4 linked regions of the Neurospora crassa OR74A genome follow. The protein of the gene in region 4 purifies or fractionates together with the protein of the main gene of each other region. This does not show direct contact. Links are inferred from orthologs where the notes say so. Each region holds a gene or a part of one and is shown on either strand. Other genes may lie near its edges.

The links. Proteins that work in one complex are often made in the same cells at the same time.
Region 1: the proteins of tim23 (region 4) and fes-1 purify together in Saccharomyces cerevisiae (affinity purification with western blotting; 3 studies listed by BioGRID, with this or other methods). This does not show direct contact. The link is inferred for Neurospora crassa OR74A from reciprocal best matches to the Saccharomyces cerevisiae genes TIM23 and RIP1.
Region 2: the proteins of tim23 (region 4) and eat-5 purify together in Saccharomyces cerevisiae (affinity purification with mass spectrometry; 3 studies listed by BioGRID, with this or other methods). This does not show direct contact. The link is inferred for Neurospora crassa OR74A from reciprocal best matches to the Saccharomyces cerevisiae genes TIM23 and COX13.
Region 3: the proteins of tim23 (region 4) and iap-1 purify together in Saccharomyces cerevisiae (affinity purification with mass spectrometry; 3 studies listed by BioGRID, with this or other methods). This does not show direct contact. The link is inferred for Neurospora crassa OR74A from reciprocal best matches to the Saccharomyces cerevisiae genes TIM23 and YME1.

Annotation. Positions count from the first base shown.
Region 1 is NC_026504.1:1,785,251-1,789,104, forward strand, and holds fes-1 (ubiquinol-cytochrome c reductase iron-sulfur subunit), read left to right. Parts: upstream 1-1,155; 5' UTR 1,156-1,362; coding exon 1,363-1,636; intron 1,637-1,961; coding exon 1,962-2,050; intron 2,051-2,172; coding exon 2,173-2,323; intron 2,324-2,444; coding exon 2,445-2,626; 3' UTR 2,627-3,354; downstream 3,355-3,854. Other genes in the region: dim-8 (DNA damage-binding protein 1), read left to right, coding at 1-295, 364-675. UniProt on the Saccharomyces cerevisiae protein: Component of the ubiquinol-cytochrome c oxidoreductase, a multisubunit transmembrane complex that is part of the mitochondrial electron transport chain which drives oxidative phosphorylation.
Region 2 is NC_026501.1:1,850,572-1,854,162, reverse strand, and holds eat-5 (encodes anonymous transcript-5 protein), read left to right. Parts: upstream 1-1,390; 5' UTR 1,391-1,586; coding exon 1,587-1,758; exon of another isoform or gene 1,759-1,820; coding exon of another isoform or gene 1,821-1,845; coding exon 1,846-1,870; intron 1,871-2,160; coding exon 2,161-2,328; intron 2,329-2,477; coding exon 2,478-2,523; 3' UTR 2,524-3,078; downstream 3,079-3,591. Other genes in the region: NCU01961 (DNA lyase Apn2), read right to left, coding at 1-602, 662-707, 763-775, 837-864; eat-6 (anaphase-promoting complex subunit Apc5), read right to left, coding at 3,079-3,591. UniProt on the Saccharomyces cerevisiae protein: Component of the cytochrome c oxidase, the last enzyme in the mitochondrial electron transport chain which drives oxidative phosphorylation.
Region 3 is NC_026502.1:979,497-983,450, reverse strand, and holds the start of iap-1 (intermembrane space AAA protease IAP-1), read left to right. Parts: upstream 1-1,154; 5' UTR 1,155-1,354; coding exon 1,355-1,381; intron 1,382-1,471; coding exon 1,472-3,535; intron 3,536-3,595; coding exon 3,596-3,954. Other genes in the region: NCU10376 (hypothetical protein), read right to left, coding at 1-316, 431-612. UniProt on the Saccharomyces cerevisiae protein: Catalytic subunit of the mitochondrial inner membrane i-AAA protease supercomplex required for mitochondrial inner membrane protein turnover. The protease is probably ATP-dependent. Important to maintain the integrity of the mitochondrial compartment.
Region 4 is NC_026503.1:3,607,791-3,611,314, reverse strand, and holds tim23 (mitochondrial import inner membrane translocase subunit tim23), read left to right. Parts: upstream 1-1,283; 5' UTR 1,284-1,529; coding exon 1,530-2,195; intron 2,196-2,265; coding exon 2,266-2,316; 3' UTR 2,317-3,024; downstream 3,025-3,524. Other genes in the region: NCU00372 (hypothetical protein), read right to left, coding at 1-297, 396-544. UniProt on the Saccharomyces cerevisiae protein: Essential component of the TIM23 complex, a complex that mediates the translocation of transit peptide-containing proteins across the mitochondrial inner membrane.

The DNA of each region.
Region 1 (3,854 bases), on a different chromosome or scaffold from region 4:
CAAAACCGGAGGGGAGAAGTCCGAAGCCCCCAAGTTGGTAGAGTGCGCGAGACACAGGCATTCTGCGTGGGCAACGGCCGTGGCTCACGTTGAGGGCGAGTCTTGGCTTGAAGCTGATGCCAATGGCAATCTGATCGTGCTTCAACGCAATGCTGAGGGCGTGACAGTGGAGGACCAGCGGCAACTGAGGATAACAAGCGAGCTCAACCTGGGAGAACAGGTGAACAAAATACGCCCGATCAAGGTCGAGACTAGCCCGAACGCCATCATCATTCCTCGAGCGTTCTTGGCCACGGTAAGTTGCCTGTTTCTCAGATTGATCATGTCACAAGGTCAAGGCTAACAATTGACTTGATAAAACAGGCGGAAGGCGGTATTTACATGTTTGGTACGATTGCGCGCGAACAAGACCTCTTACTTCGGTTCCAGGATAAACTGGCGGCGGTGATCAAGACAGTTGGCGAACTCGATTTCAACTCCTACAGGGCATTCCGCAATGCGGAAAGGGGGCCCGAGGCAGATGGAACGACTGGGCCGGTCAGGTTCCTGGATGGGGAGTTGCTGGAGAGGTTTTTGGATGTGGATGAGAAGACGCAGAAGGAGATCTGCGAAGGTCTTGGGCCGAGCGTTGAGCAGATGCGCAATATGGTAGAGGAGCTACGGAGGATGCACTGAGCCAACGGTTAGACACTTAACGTGCATGATTGGATGTCTACAAGTCATCGCTTTGGCTGCTGAAGATTTTGGCAGTTGCAAGTGTTGTCAATAAGTGCTGTGCTCAAAACATGGCTGCATAGGGTGAGAGAAGATGAGTCTGTGAATAGCCTCAGATGAACGAATGAATTATGTATGATCAATAGATCAATTGACATCACTGTCTTGGCACCCTTGGCTCGCCGAGTCGCTGACAGTTCAAGTTGTCCGGGCGCTGCGGTGACGCGCTGAGGTGAGCCCCACCACCACCATCACCACCACCAACAGGACGAACCAGGCGACGGAAGAAACCGGAGAGTGGACGAACAGGCAGTCACAGCCAATCAGGGCCGGCGCATTAAGTAGCTCTCTAGCTGCTGGGCGGACGCTGTGGTTGGTTAGTGCCTCAGGCCACAAGCCAGTAGCTATGGCGGTTTCCCATGCCGGGAAAGGTGGGAACCAAGCTCGGCCCAGAAAAACCTCAGTCCGTGATTTTGGCCTCGTCGTCTCGACCGCATTACGCAGCCGTCAATTCCGTCTCCGGAACACCGCCCACGTCCACCGTCCTCCCGCGACTCCGAAAGAGCAGAACCTCGCTCGATCTCCCCGCTCTCGCAACCCCCTCTCTCCGCTCCGACCTCTGTCCACGCGAGTAATTCTACCGACACAATGGCGCCCGTCTCGATCGTTTCCCGCGCCGCCATGCGCGCCGCTGCCGCCCCCGCCCGGGCCGTTCGCGCTCTCACCACCTCGACTGCCCTCCAGGGTTCCTCGTCCTCCACCTTCGAGAGCCCCTTCAAGGGCGAGAGCAAGGCCGCCAAGGTCCCCGACTTCGGCAAATACATGAGCAAGGCGCCCCCCAGCACCAACATGCTCTTCTCCTACTTCATGGTCGGCACCATGGGCGCCATCACCGCCGCCGGCGCCAAGTCCACCATCCAGGGTGAGTCTTGACTTGATGGGATTTGAGGAGGAAGCTTCACACATTCCTCGAGGTTGGGGAAAACAAAGAGGTGGCATAGGACAGATGGGTTCGGGTCAATGGGATTCGACAAGGGGGTTCTGTTATGGTGGGGCGAGCTATCTACGGTTCCGTCTCATCGATCACCAATTTGCGACCACTATGACAACTTTCGATATCGGGGCGGATATGGTTGGACCTTGGGGCGATGTTGAAGCATGGATACATGGGGAAAATGCCATCTTGCACATGCACCCACGAACACCCAAGAACTAAAGACAGCTGACGAGGCGACCGTGTTATACAGAGTTCCTCAAGAACATGTCGGCTTCCGCTGATGTCTTGGCCATGGCCAAGGTTGAGGTTGACCTCAACGCCATCCCCGAGGGCAAGAACGTAAGGATCCCTACGAAACCGGATTAGCAAAGGCTTGGGCTGAGCTGAGCTGGGCACATCGATTCCCGACGACGATCAAACCATGATGGAATGCTGACCCCGGTCTTTTCCTACTTTTACAGGTCATCATCAAGTGGCGTGGCAAGCCCGTCTTCATCCGTCACCGTACCCCTGCGGAGATCGAAGAGGCCAACAAGGTCAACGTTGCCACCCTCCGTGACCCCGAGACCGACGCCGACCGTGTCAAGAAGCCCGAGTGGCTCGTCATGCTTGGTACGCCCCTCCATGTCCCTCTTTGCGATCCGAACAAGACGAAGGATAGCATTTTTGGATGCTCAGATCCTGGATACACGACGATGTGGGGAGACTGACATTTGGTGTGTGAACAAAACAGGCGTCTGCACCCACTTGGGTTGCGTTCCCATCGGCGAGGCCGGTGACTACGGTGGCTGGTTCTGCCCTTGCCACGGTTCTCACTACGATATCTCTGGCCGTATCAGGAAAGGACCTGCCCCTCTGAACCTCGAGATCCCTCTCTACGAGTTCCCTGAGGAGGGCAAGCTTGTCATTGGTTAAGCGAGCAAAAAGACAAAACTTTCCGATTGAACAAACAAGACACAATTTTTAACCAAACCTACTAGGGAATCCTCTCGATATTCCCTTGTCCACTTTTTTTTTCCCTTGCTGCCCGAGAGACGATGACAGGGAGAATTGTATTAGTACGGGGGTATTGCGACAAAGGGCTTGAGTGGAAGCATGTCATAGACCATAAAACGGGATTTTTGTTTTCCGTGGTTCTTGACGCGGTTTCGTACGACTATCCTATAGACAGAAGACACACATACGCATACACAACAGCAAATCAGGTGTCACGGTCGATCATATGCGCTCGAGAGTCGGAAACTTCTATATACTCAGAACTGCGTTCTTCACCTACGCAACCCTACATACCTATTATTGGTGCTGAGCTTGGCGCTAGGTTGCTGCTGAGTGTTGTACCCTTGCGTTTTCCTATAGACTGGCTTTGTAGAAAATCCTATTGTATGAGAGGCTCACTGGAGCATGGTACCGTGAGAAGGTCTTCCTCGACCCATGGCAGTCGGCTGTGGCTAAGAGCTTTGTGAGGAAACCATAGGTCAGCTGATGAACCTCCCAATGCTAACGCATCTGATCATCCAACACGGCATTGGTAAATACAAATGGCCTTTTATGCGGGTGTGGGACAGACAGGCTACATGTCGAATTGCTGGAGAGCAGCTCGACCAGAATTACAGATGTTGACAACTTAATCTTAGCTTGGCCAACCTTGCGAATCAAGCCCAGTCGGTATACCCGCCCGTGCTACTCTGGTAGCTGAGTTAAGGAAACGCCCGCGAACCGGTAGCTTACCCTGGTTGTTTCATTGACGTCTGAGGAATTCTCCGAACGTAATTATATCTGAAGCCCGCCTTAACATCTTGTGCGCTACTCAAGCCGACACATAGTTAGTGCACTACCTCCAACCATAGCCCCTTGCCAATGCTGGCCGGGTGGGTTGCAGTCTCATTGCAGGGGCTAGGTTGTACCCCCATGCGCTCCCCCTTGCTCTGAGTCTTTTTCCCCCACAAACAAAACAACCTCATCTTTTGAACTTCGCCTTCCCGGGCGCGTCTTGACACAGCTTTCTCACTTCTTCACCAAATTCTCGAAACCCCTCACCCTTGCGGCTCAAAGGGGCTGCTCCTAGGGTCATGTAACAAGCGAAGTTCCATCGTTCGTCTGATCTGACTTGCCGACTACCCGAGGCACCATGGCGGCCACGATT
Region 2 (3,591 bases), on a different chromosome or scaffold from region 4:
AACCGGCGCGAAGGGGTCGAGATGAACTGGTCGAGTGTCATGGCCTCCTTTTTCAATTGTTCTGGTAGACCAGCGGTATCCATCTCGTTTCGGATGATGTTGAGGTCGCCGCAGAGAAACACCTCTTTCCCCAAGGAGACAAGGTTACGAACTCTGGCATCCATGGCGTCGATGAAGGCCTGACGGAACTCGATCCTGGTCTCGTCTCGCGTGGCCGGGCTGTATACACCGATAAGAACAAAGGCAGGGAACTCCAAGATGACACACCTTCCTTCGGAGTCAAGTTGAGCTTCGTCTATGTCGCTGGAGAGTTGGCCGGGAGTGGGATAGCCACCAATCTGCTGATCAGCAGGCAAGTCGCGAAACTTTGTGGACGAGTTCGGCGGACACAGAACGCCAGTAATGCCTTCTTCGGCGCGTATCGGGCAACATTTCGAGGAACGAGTGTAGATTGCAACTCCCGAGTAGCCCTTCTTGTACGTGGGTAAGTTGAAGTACACATCCCAGCCAGGGACGAGGACCATGTCGTCTCTCAAATCCTTCCGCTGAATCTTGGTTTCCTGTATGACCACAATGTCGGCGTCCAAGGTGTCGAACATGGCCTTCACTGTGTTAGAGCATCCGGCCAGATAGGGCTTTTGAATAGGGAACTTGATCCCACCTGAAACGTGCGGTTCTCCCGCCATGGCTGGTAACTGAATGGGTTTCTTGAAGCAGGGTCAGAGCTGGTTCATAGGGACGGCTTGTCGTGTTAGGACCGACCTGATACCATTGACTACACATTGGTTTGAGTTAGACCAGGCAAAACGCAGCAAAAACGCGCAAGAGGATCTCACCATTCCACGTCGTGATCCGTAACCCCATTTTCAGATATTCCTTTACTGATGCTAAGGTAGCTCTCTAGATCTACCAGGTTTATAGCACAACAAAGTCACTTCGGTCGCCGGATGCGGCGCTTGTAATTGCAATGGCCACACGAGAAGCAGAGGGACATGGGCTGACGTCTTCGATGTTCGGCTTCGCATGAGCAAGAGCTTCAGGTCTCGGGAACAATTGATCTTTCCCTCACGTCGCTACATCGATCGATATTCCCAGTCTCTTGGAGTTTGCCACACCTTGCGGCAAACGACCAACGATGTCACTAGCTGCCAAGCCATCGCCAAGTAGTTCGCGGCGTCCACAAACGAACGATTGGCTCGTGCGGTTGAATTACGCAGGTGAATTGGGCGGTCCACACACGAAGTCACCTGACAGGCAGCTGCTTTCGTCATTCCGACTGCTCGCGCAACTCAAGCTTTCAACGGGAACGTGCACTTGGCACTGTGGCTTGATTTCGACTGTCTGTGCACTCCAGCCACACCCCATGAGCAGCCGCAACCCACGCACGCACCCGAGGTCGAACTGAGCAATGAGCTGATCGGTCTCTGACCTCACTCAGTTCGCACCCGGAGTCACGAGAAGCCGCCAAGCGCAGGAGGAAAAGAGTGGGGCCAGCTTGCTACAACCTTTGCTGCTGATTCCGCATCCACCTCGTTACCAGTCCTCCTCCGAACCACCTGTAGTCGACCACAACGAATACGGAAACCATGTTCGCCCAACGCCAGATGTTCTTCGCGCGCCTCGCCGCCAACCTTCGCGCCCCCGCGGTCCGCCAGACCGTCCAGCGCCGCTTCGCCAGCACCCCTGCCAACGAGTCCGGCAAGAACGCCTTCGTCCGCGAGCGTGAGGCCGTCAAGCAGCACGCCGCTGAGACCACCGGTGCGCACTAATCCACCACCCGCCCTTGTCAATTGCCGACCCCGATTATCGATGGACGGGAAATGCTAACCGGGAGTCGCCATATAGAGCTCTGGCGCAAGATCTCTCTCTAGTATGCGCATTTCCTCCCACCCCCCAAATCCCCGCTGCGTGGTTTTTCCCGGATGGACCCCTCGGACTCTGAAGGAATTGGAACTTCAGCTAGCTCAAATGAAGCTCCATCGAGCTCCGATCGGAGCCCGCCTTCAACGACGAGCGCATGACACCAACGTCATAGCCGACGTGCACCGCCGAGAAGACGAAGGGGATCAACAGTCAACATCTACGGAATGCTTGATTGAGTGGGGGACAGAAAAGGGGAATGGAACACAATAAGCTAACGAAACTCACCCTTTCTCCCAGCGGCATTCCCCCTGCCCTCGCCCTCGCCGGATACAACGCCTACACCCTCTACAACGAGCACTGGGAGCACTGGTCCCACCTCCCTCCCCTTGAGGAGCGCACCGAGTACCCCTACCAGAACATCCGCACCCGCAACTACCCCTGGGGCGATGGTGACAAGACTCTCTTGTACGTTTAACCCATCCGAAGCTCGCACAACCGGCGGGCATCTCTGCATGGCCTTTCTGAACGAAGGAGCTTTGAGCGTGTCGAGCCCGCCCCATCGAAGGAGCCTCATTCTATGGCAACAACTACTGACCGATACCAACTCTGTTTAGCTGGAACGAGTCTGTCAACTACCACAACCGCGACAAGGTCACGTAAGTGGCTTGTTGATGCGAGCTTCACAAGCACCATCTGTGCTCTTGCTTGCTAGACTGGCATCATCCCTGGATCATTGGAAAGCAAAGAGAATTGGGACAGCTAGCGTGTAGTGAGAGCAGGTGGCATGGGACTGTGAATGAAGTGTGGAAAAGAAAGAACAGGACGAGTGCTAGAGGCACCACCACGTCTACTGATCCGCAATCATCATATCAATTTATTTGTATTCTGATATCAGCCTTTGTAAAGGCTCGCATTGACATCCATATGATCTTATTCTTGATGGAAGCCCATGTGCAGGACGAAAACAGTGTTCTACTGCTATTGCTGGGGATCTCCATGAGACAAAGTGCAGTGAGCCTTCATAGCTTCCTTCCATTTCTACCAGGGGTATAAAGACACAAAACAAGGGGCACACATCCGCGCCATGTTCGATGAAATCAAACATCAACCTCTATGGCCAGCGACAATATTCTCCATTCCTCATCAAGTCATTACAACCGAACTGCTCCATAAAAACGTCCGACCGGAGCTTTACTGAGCCCCACCCAAACCATATTATGGCGTACCTGTATCTGTCGACCATACACTAGAATGCTCGCCCGACGAGCTCTGCCTCTTCAATGCCATATACCGCGCCGCATACTCCTCCGCTCGAGCATGATCCCCCAGCACTTTCATTAGCGTCGCCCTCTTCGCCAACGTCTCGCACTGCTTCTCCAGATCTTCCGCCGCAGAGAAGTGGTTGAACGCACACTCCAGCGCCTCGTGTGCCTTCGTAAAGAGGTCGATTTTTTTGTTGCTCATCAAGCTCGCCGCCGCTCCTGTTGTTTCTCCCGTCGTCGTCATCGCCTGCCTGGCCTTTGCAGCTTTTCCAGCCTGTCCCATCCTGGCATCCGCCAGGATACTATACAGTATGCCTGTGTTGAAAGCATTCTCCGACTCCATCGAGCGCGGCAGCACTGCTTCTACTAGCTGCACAGCGGCAGTGAACTCGCCCATCGCATTCAGTATGTTGGCCAGAGCGCCAACCGCCTGCCAGAGAAGGGTGAGCAGCCGCGCACGCCACGC
Region 3 (3,954 bases), on a different chromosome or scaffold from region 4:
GCCGGGAGTCGTCGTCCTGCCAGTAGCAGCTGATCGATTACTCCTCGCGCTACGTCCTGCTGAGGGGGAGGCAGTGAGGTCATCAGCGCGATGTTGCTGGTCGCGAAGTCGAGAGGTAGGGGTTTTGACTGTCCGTTGGCTGCGTGGAGTGGCGGCGGTTGTTTGTTCTGCTTTTCTGGGGGTTCCACCGCCGCGGCCGGGGGTTGAAGAGGTGGAGGGGAGGATATTGGAGAGGTGGGAGCAGAGGCGCTTGTAGATGCGTGGTGGAATGGGAGGGCGGGGGTCGATGGGGGGGAGATTCAGGGTTATTTTGAGTCTGCGAGCATGTGTTAGTGTTGGTTTTGTATAGTCACAGACAAAAGGTGAAGTAAGGCTGAGACGAGATGAGATGTGAAGGCATGAGTCGAGATGATGAGATGCAGTATCGTACCTGTCACATGCCAGGTGGGCGCAGGCATAGGTGCGTGCAATCTCCTCTTCGGCTTTGAGTGTGCTTGCACGATGGCGGGATTGGGCGAGGAGTGAGCTGGCGAGATCGACGAGTGGTTGTGGGAGAGTCGTGTTGTGGGTTGGTAGAAGTGACAAGAGCGCCTGTTCTATAGAGCGATTCATCTTGGCTTCCACACTTTAGGAGGTGATTTGTTTACTTGTATTTTTTTTCTTCTTCAGATTCAGTAATGGAGGTGGTGATTTGTTGAGAAGTGAGCTTAATTTCAAAATAATGGCTGTATTTGTACTCCTGGTAGGCTAGGTATGTTTCGAACCTAACATGTGTATGAATAAGTTGTTTATGATTAAGTCAGTCCATGAGCCTCTCGAATCACAAAGTGAACAAACAGAACAGACCGAGTTTCGTGACGCGACGAGACTTTTCCTCGTGTAAGACGCCAAATCACGTGTCGAGACTGCGCTGTCGGCGCACCTGTTAGTGCATAATTGCTCCCTAGGTAACTAAGAACTACGTAACATTGTGGGGCAATGTGCGCACCGAGCTTTTAGTGTAGCAGTGCGGGAGGCCAGATGTCCAAAGTGGCGAGAACACTGACAGCGACTGACTCTGCGTTACAGAATAAGCGGCTGCCACCTGCCACGGCGGCATCAGCATTTAAGGCGGCACTATGGCCCTTGATCAGCTAATCAACTTGCTCACCCAACCGTTTCGTTCTCCGCCGCCGCCGCCGCGTCCACTCAGTTGCATCTGCTGCAGTCCGCCACTGAGTGACTGACTGGCACTGACTATTGTACTGTCATTTCCACCACCAACACTTTAGGTTTGCCCTGGTCATTGTGAGATCTCCGCTCCTTCGCATCCGTCTGTCGCAAACAGAGAGAGAGTGGGTGTAAACAATCCACCATGGCTTTCCACGCAAGTGGGCTGCCGGTAAGTCTTGCGCAATCCGTCTTTTAGACTAGCTAGTACCTTAAGTTGCCGTCCTCTTCCATGAAGCTGACCCCTCCGCGCGCCTGCCAGACCATCGCGGCGGCAACCACCGAGTTGTGGCCTTCCATCGCGACAACCCTGACCGTTCCCTTCGGGTTACCGACCTCTCTTAAGGCGCAACAACGGCTTTCCTACAACTCGAACGTCTCGACAGCATCTTCGAACGCCTCCCGCACCCTTGCTAGCTCCCCCGCGCGCGAAGCTTCCAGCTCCTCGGCGCTGCCCGCCTTCCTGAGAACTGCGCCTCTACCCCAGCCCGTTGTCTCTCAGGGTCTAGCAAATGCTTCGCCTACAAACATCTTTTCGGAAATCTCAAGCATGTCTTCCCGCCAGCTCGCCATGGCGAACCCCCTCTTCCGGCGCTCGTTTTCGGCGCTCATGTCGAGGCCCCTGGGCACTGTCAACACCCTTCGGTCCATGAGCACCCACCAGCCCGGTCGCATTCCGTCCTTCTTCCGCTCGCCAGTACACTCTTCTCTCGGTTTCACTCTCCAGGTCCGCAGCTTTGGAAACGGTGGTCTCTCGCACAACCTCCTGGCTGCTCGCGAGGCCGCTGCCAACCAGTTCCCAACCAGCGCCGGTGCTCAGTATGCTTTCTACCAGGCTCTTCTCAAGGCGAACATGCCTGCTATCATTATCGAAAGGTATCAGTCTGGACGTTTCGCCACGAACGAGCAGGTAGACCAGATCTACCAGCAAGCCCTTGCCATGTCTACCGGTCAACCCTACACGCCTGCGAACAACACCGTCGATAACAATGGCTATCACCCCTCCGGTTTCACCGCTAGCCAGATCCATGCCGCTGGTACTGCCGCTGCTGCTCAGCATACTGGTGGAAACATGGCCATGGTCAAGCCGATCGCTGCTGGTGCCAAGACGGGTCCTCTGCATATCGTAGTTGACGAAAGTTTCGGAAGCTCCGCTCTCAGATGGGTCAAGTTTCTCATGTGGTTCACTCTCTTCACGTATCTCAGCATGGTCGTCATCACAATGGTTTTCGAGGGCTTGAGCAGCATCAAGCGCCCCGGTGGCAAGCTTGAGGCCAGCGAGGTCAAGCCTGAGAACCAGAAGGCTCGCTTTGCTGATGTCCACGGCTGTGATGAGGCCAAGGAAGAGCTTCAGGAACTTATCGACTTTTTGCGCAACCCTGAGAAGTACTCGACTCTTGGCGGCAAGCTCCCCAAGGGCGTGTTGCTCGTGGGACCCCCCGGTACTGGTAAAACTCTTTTGGCTCGTGCTGTCGCCGGCGAAGCTGGCGTTCCCTTCTTCAACATGTCCGGTTCCGAGTTTGAAGAGGTCTACGTTGGCGTTGGCGCAAAGCGTGTTCGTGATCTCTTTGCCGCCGCCAAGGCCAAGGCTCCCTCAATTGTTTTCATCGACGAACTTGATGCTATTGGTGGCCGGCGTAACTCCAGGGACGCTACCTACGTACGTCAGACTCTCAACCAGCTTCTTACCGAGTTGGACGGTTTCGAGCAAAACAGTGGTGTAATCATCATCGGCGCCACCAACTTCCCCGAGTCCCTTGACAAGGCGCTTACCCGCCCCGGCCGCTTCGATCGCAATGTTGTTGTCTCTCTTCCCGATGTCCGCGGCCGTATGGCCATTCTCCAGCACCACGCCAAGCGCATCAAGGCTGCTGCCGATGTCAACCTGGAGGCTATTGCTTCCAGAACTTCTGGTCTTTCTGGTGCCGAGCTGGAGAACATTGTCAACCAGGCTGCTATTCACGCCAGCAAGTTGAAGGCTCAGGCTGTTACTCAAAAGGATTTCGAATGGGCAAAGGACAAGGTCATCATGGGTGCTGAGAAGCGTAGTATGGTTATCACAGCCAAGGAAAAGGAGATGACTGCCTATCATGAGGCTGGTCACGCCCTCGTCGGATATTACGCCAAGGACAGCGCAAGCTCGCTTTACAAGGTCACCATTCTTCCACGTGGCCAGACTCTTGGCCACACTGCCTACCTCCCTGAGATGGACAAGCACTCGTTTACTGTCAGGGATTACTTGGGTATGATTGACCGTGCCATGGGCGGCAAGGTCGCTGAGGAGATTGTCTATGGTAACGAGCTTGTGACTAGCGGTGTTAGCGCTGTACGTTCTCCCCTCCCCTTGTTCCACTTGATTAGACGAGTTAACTAACATGGCATTCAGGATCTTGACATGGCCACCAGAACCGCCTGGCAGATGGTTGCTCAGCTCGGCATGTCTGAGAAGCTCGGCCCCGTTGAGTACCTCCGCAAGTACAACCAGCTCAGCTCCGAGACCAGGGCGATGGTTGAGTCCGAGGTGAAGAGAGTTCTGGACGAATCGTACGAGCGTGCGCGTAACCTGCTCACCTCCAAGAGGAACGAACTCGACTACTTGGCCAAGGCGCTCGTCGAGTACGAGACACTGGACAAGAAGGAAGTTGAGAGGGTGATTCGGGGAGAGAAGTTGAAGGATCGCATCTCGGTGCCGCCAGGGCCTATGGCTATTCCCAAGCCCAGCGACACCCTGGAGCCGGGCCTGCC
Region 4 (3,524 bases):
TGTTCCTTCACTGCCTTCCCTGTCTCGGGTTTGGGATTAATGGTCGCCGAGGCCACAAGGACATCAAGAATCAGTCTCAGGGCACGATGCGGGTCGTGTTCATACCACTCAAGGTAGAAATGGAACAGCTTCGTTGAGACGGGCTCGGTGAAGGCCCATTCCTTCAGCTTCTCGTCTTTGGCCTTGGCGCATTGCTGAACAAAGCTGCAGAGCCTTACGACATCGTGACCGTTGCCGTGATACTGGCGAGACTCAGAGGCATTGCTGAACAACTTGGCAAATACTGCCTGTGCGATGCTAACACGGGTGTTAGTGAATGTCTGTATATGTGTGATTGAGAACTTCTCACAAAGAATAACTGGACACTGAAGATATCCGAAAGAAAAGAAACCTACGCTGGGAGTGACTCGGTGGGTTGTGACAACAGCCACTTGGTGATGGTGTTGGCATTTTCAAACACTTCGGGGCCCAGTCCGGCTAGCAGAGCGTCCGTGTCAATGGTGCTGCTGCCGGGGGCATTTTGCTGGACTTGGGTTGACTCCATCCCCGCAGTCCAAAAGGGAAGTTATGATTGAGGGACCGGGTTTAGACGTGCATCCGAGACTTCGTTGCAGAGTGATGATGACTGGGAAAGGGAGGCAATAAAGAAGGAGCGAAGAGTGGTAAGTGCCTGACCGTCAATGAGCCCCCCAGTGAGAGTTAGTGAGGGCCTGAAGTTACTGTGATAGTAAGTAATCCACCTCTCTGCTGGGCACTCGTGTAAAGTATGAGCGACGAGTTGTGAAATTTTGGGATCTTCAAAGGCCTATAGCATCACCCACTGTGTGTTTACATCCACTGCGCATGTTCTGGGGGTGAATCCACTCCGGCCACCGTGCTTGTTTTGGGTCTGAAGTTGCCTGCCGCCATGTCAAGAGATACCCCTGCACTGTAGCAGTAAAAGAATCCCCACGAACGAACCGTCCCCGTAAAAGATCCAAAGGCGAAGAAGTCCTGAGAAAGCAGGAATGGGAACATGGAGAATCCGTTGAATATATCTGTTCAAGGCGTAGTCTAGCTTCAGATGCCCACGATGTACTGCAGTTGACCTTTCAATAAGGTCTTCTTCATTACAGCCTCGGTTGAGTTCCACTTCGCCATGTTGACATGTCCCCGAAATCAAAGCCCCAGAGCATGTATATACATATGTAGAGGTACATATGACGCCAATCGCTCGCACGGGCCATGCGGGCGCCATAGAGGTAAATTTTTTCGAAGTTCCGACGTTATCGGGGGCCAAGACAGGCGTCGGTCCAAGTTGCGCGTGAGCCGGAGCCAATTCGAGATCCCATCCGTCTCGCCCACCGACCCGTCCGTCACTCCCCCGAAGATACGATAGCTTACTCGTTTGCCGACGGCACCACCCACCCACCCTTCCCTCCGGCTACCCGTCACCACTCTTGCGCGCAGCAGTACGCGGTCTATCTGCTTCGTGTTCCCCAACTGCTTAACGATCCGATAACCCATCGAACCCCTCCACTTCAGTCACAATGTCCGGCCTTTGGAACACCCTCACCGGAGGCAACAAGAAGCAGCAAGAGCAGCAAGAGCCCGCCGCACCCGCCCCCAGCGCACCTCAGACAACCACCACCACCACCTCCGCTCCTTCATATCCCTCGCCCTTCGATGCTAGCCAGCCCCAAGGTGTCGAGGCCTTTCTCGGTAGCTCTTCCTTCGCCGACCCCACACAACTACACCCTCTTGCCGGCCTCAACAAGGAAACACTAGAATACATCTCGCTTGAGGATACCCCGCTGCCCGATGCCGCCGGCGCCTCAGTTCTGCCCTCGCGCGGCTTCACTGACGACCTCTGCTACGGAACCGGTATCACCTACCTGACGGCCCTCACTATCGGAGGCGCGTGGGGTTTGAAAGAGGGTCTCCAGAGATCGGCCGGCCAGCCGCCCAAGCTGCGCCTCAACTCCGTCCTTAACGCTGTCACCCGTCGCGGTCCCTACCTCGGCAACTCGGCTGGTGTTGTCGCCATCTGCTACAACCTAATCAACGCCGGCATTGGTTACGTGAGGGGCAAGCACGATGCCGCCAACTCAATCCTGGCCGGTGCGCTTAGTGGTATGCTCTTCAAGAGCACCAGGGGTCTGAAGCCCATGATGATCTCGGGTGGTATTGTTGCGACGATAGCCGGTACTTGGGCGGTATGTCACCATTTTTCGTATGGCAGGCGTAGACTGGAAATACACCTTGCTAACTTTACTGTGTCACTAGGTCGCCAGGAGGACGTTCTTCCCCTCCCCCCAGACCAACGAGGTTGACTGAAGTGGGGACGAAGAATGAAATAGGAAACAAAAAAAGTCATCTTCTGTTCCCTTCATCCCACGACTCTCTGGCCATCTATCGTTGCTCCATGAAAAGAGTGCATAGCTAGCCAGCCTTCTCTATTATTTTAATCTTCGAGAGAACTGACAGAAGAAAACCAGTGTCTTTCTCACCAGCACGGAAGACCACTGCGATGAAGATGTGTGTGTGTCCTTGGTTCAACACGGAGCAAAAGGGCAGCAGACACGAACTGGTGGATGTGTACGAACAAGAGAGGGAAGAACGAAAATAAAGCGACACTGGGCTGGGCAGGGCTTGAACAAGGCAGGACATGGAAGAGGGGCCAAAGGGCAGGGTGTGTGCATAGTGGTGCATAGCGCAAGGGTTAGTCTCATCTCTCTCCTCCCCGTGTGTGGAAAATTGTATGTATTATAGCGGATCATATGGACATAGAGCGCAATCGCCCTGGTTGGGCATATGGGGCATTGCGGCAGGCTTCATTCAAACTTTGAGTCTATTGCGGGTTGTACATGACTGTTGGCTCCGGGTTTTATGATAAGATAATAGAGAGGTAATGTTTGGTGTGGGATATATTGGGCATGTCACCCTGCCACACGTTGGTGTCGAAAATGACTGCAAGCAGGTGTGAGTTCAAAGTTCGAAGCGACTTAGGGGCAGGACTACGAATGAACATATCCACTCTCTTAGGATAAGGCCCATCTCCGACGAATTCCCTATTTGCCACAGAACTGGAAACCGTACGCACATTGTTCCTCGAGTATTCCCCATGCAAATCTTTGGCTTGAGAACAACAGGCAAGCACCAGTTTCAATACATGGAAGCAGAGAGATCAAGACAGGGAGGAAAATCAATTCTTCGATAACCGACAGACTAGTGAGCTACAAGTGGCAGTAACGATAATAACCTTGCTTGCCTCTTTATGCTAAGTCCCTCTACGAATCCCGTTATTGCTTTCTCTAAGATCGAAGACTAATAAAGCAAGTTTCCCATCCATATCTTTGGTTATAACAAGATCGAGCTAACATCATTTGGTTCCTGGTGTGGGATGCTGTTGCAAAAGGAGAAAGGCGAGCTCGACATGATCATATGTAACGTGTAATGTATCCCCACCTTCTTCCTAAACCACCATAGAAAGCCACTTGAAGAATATACAAAAACTCGATAGTATACCAACAGAACACTTTAGC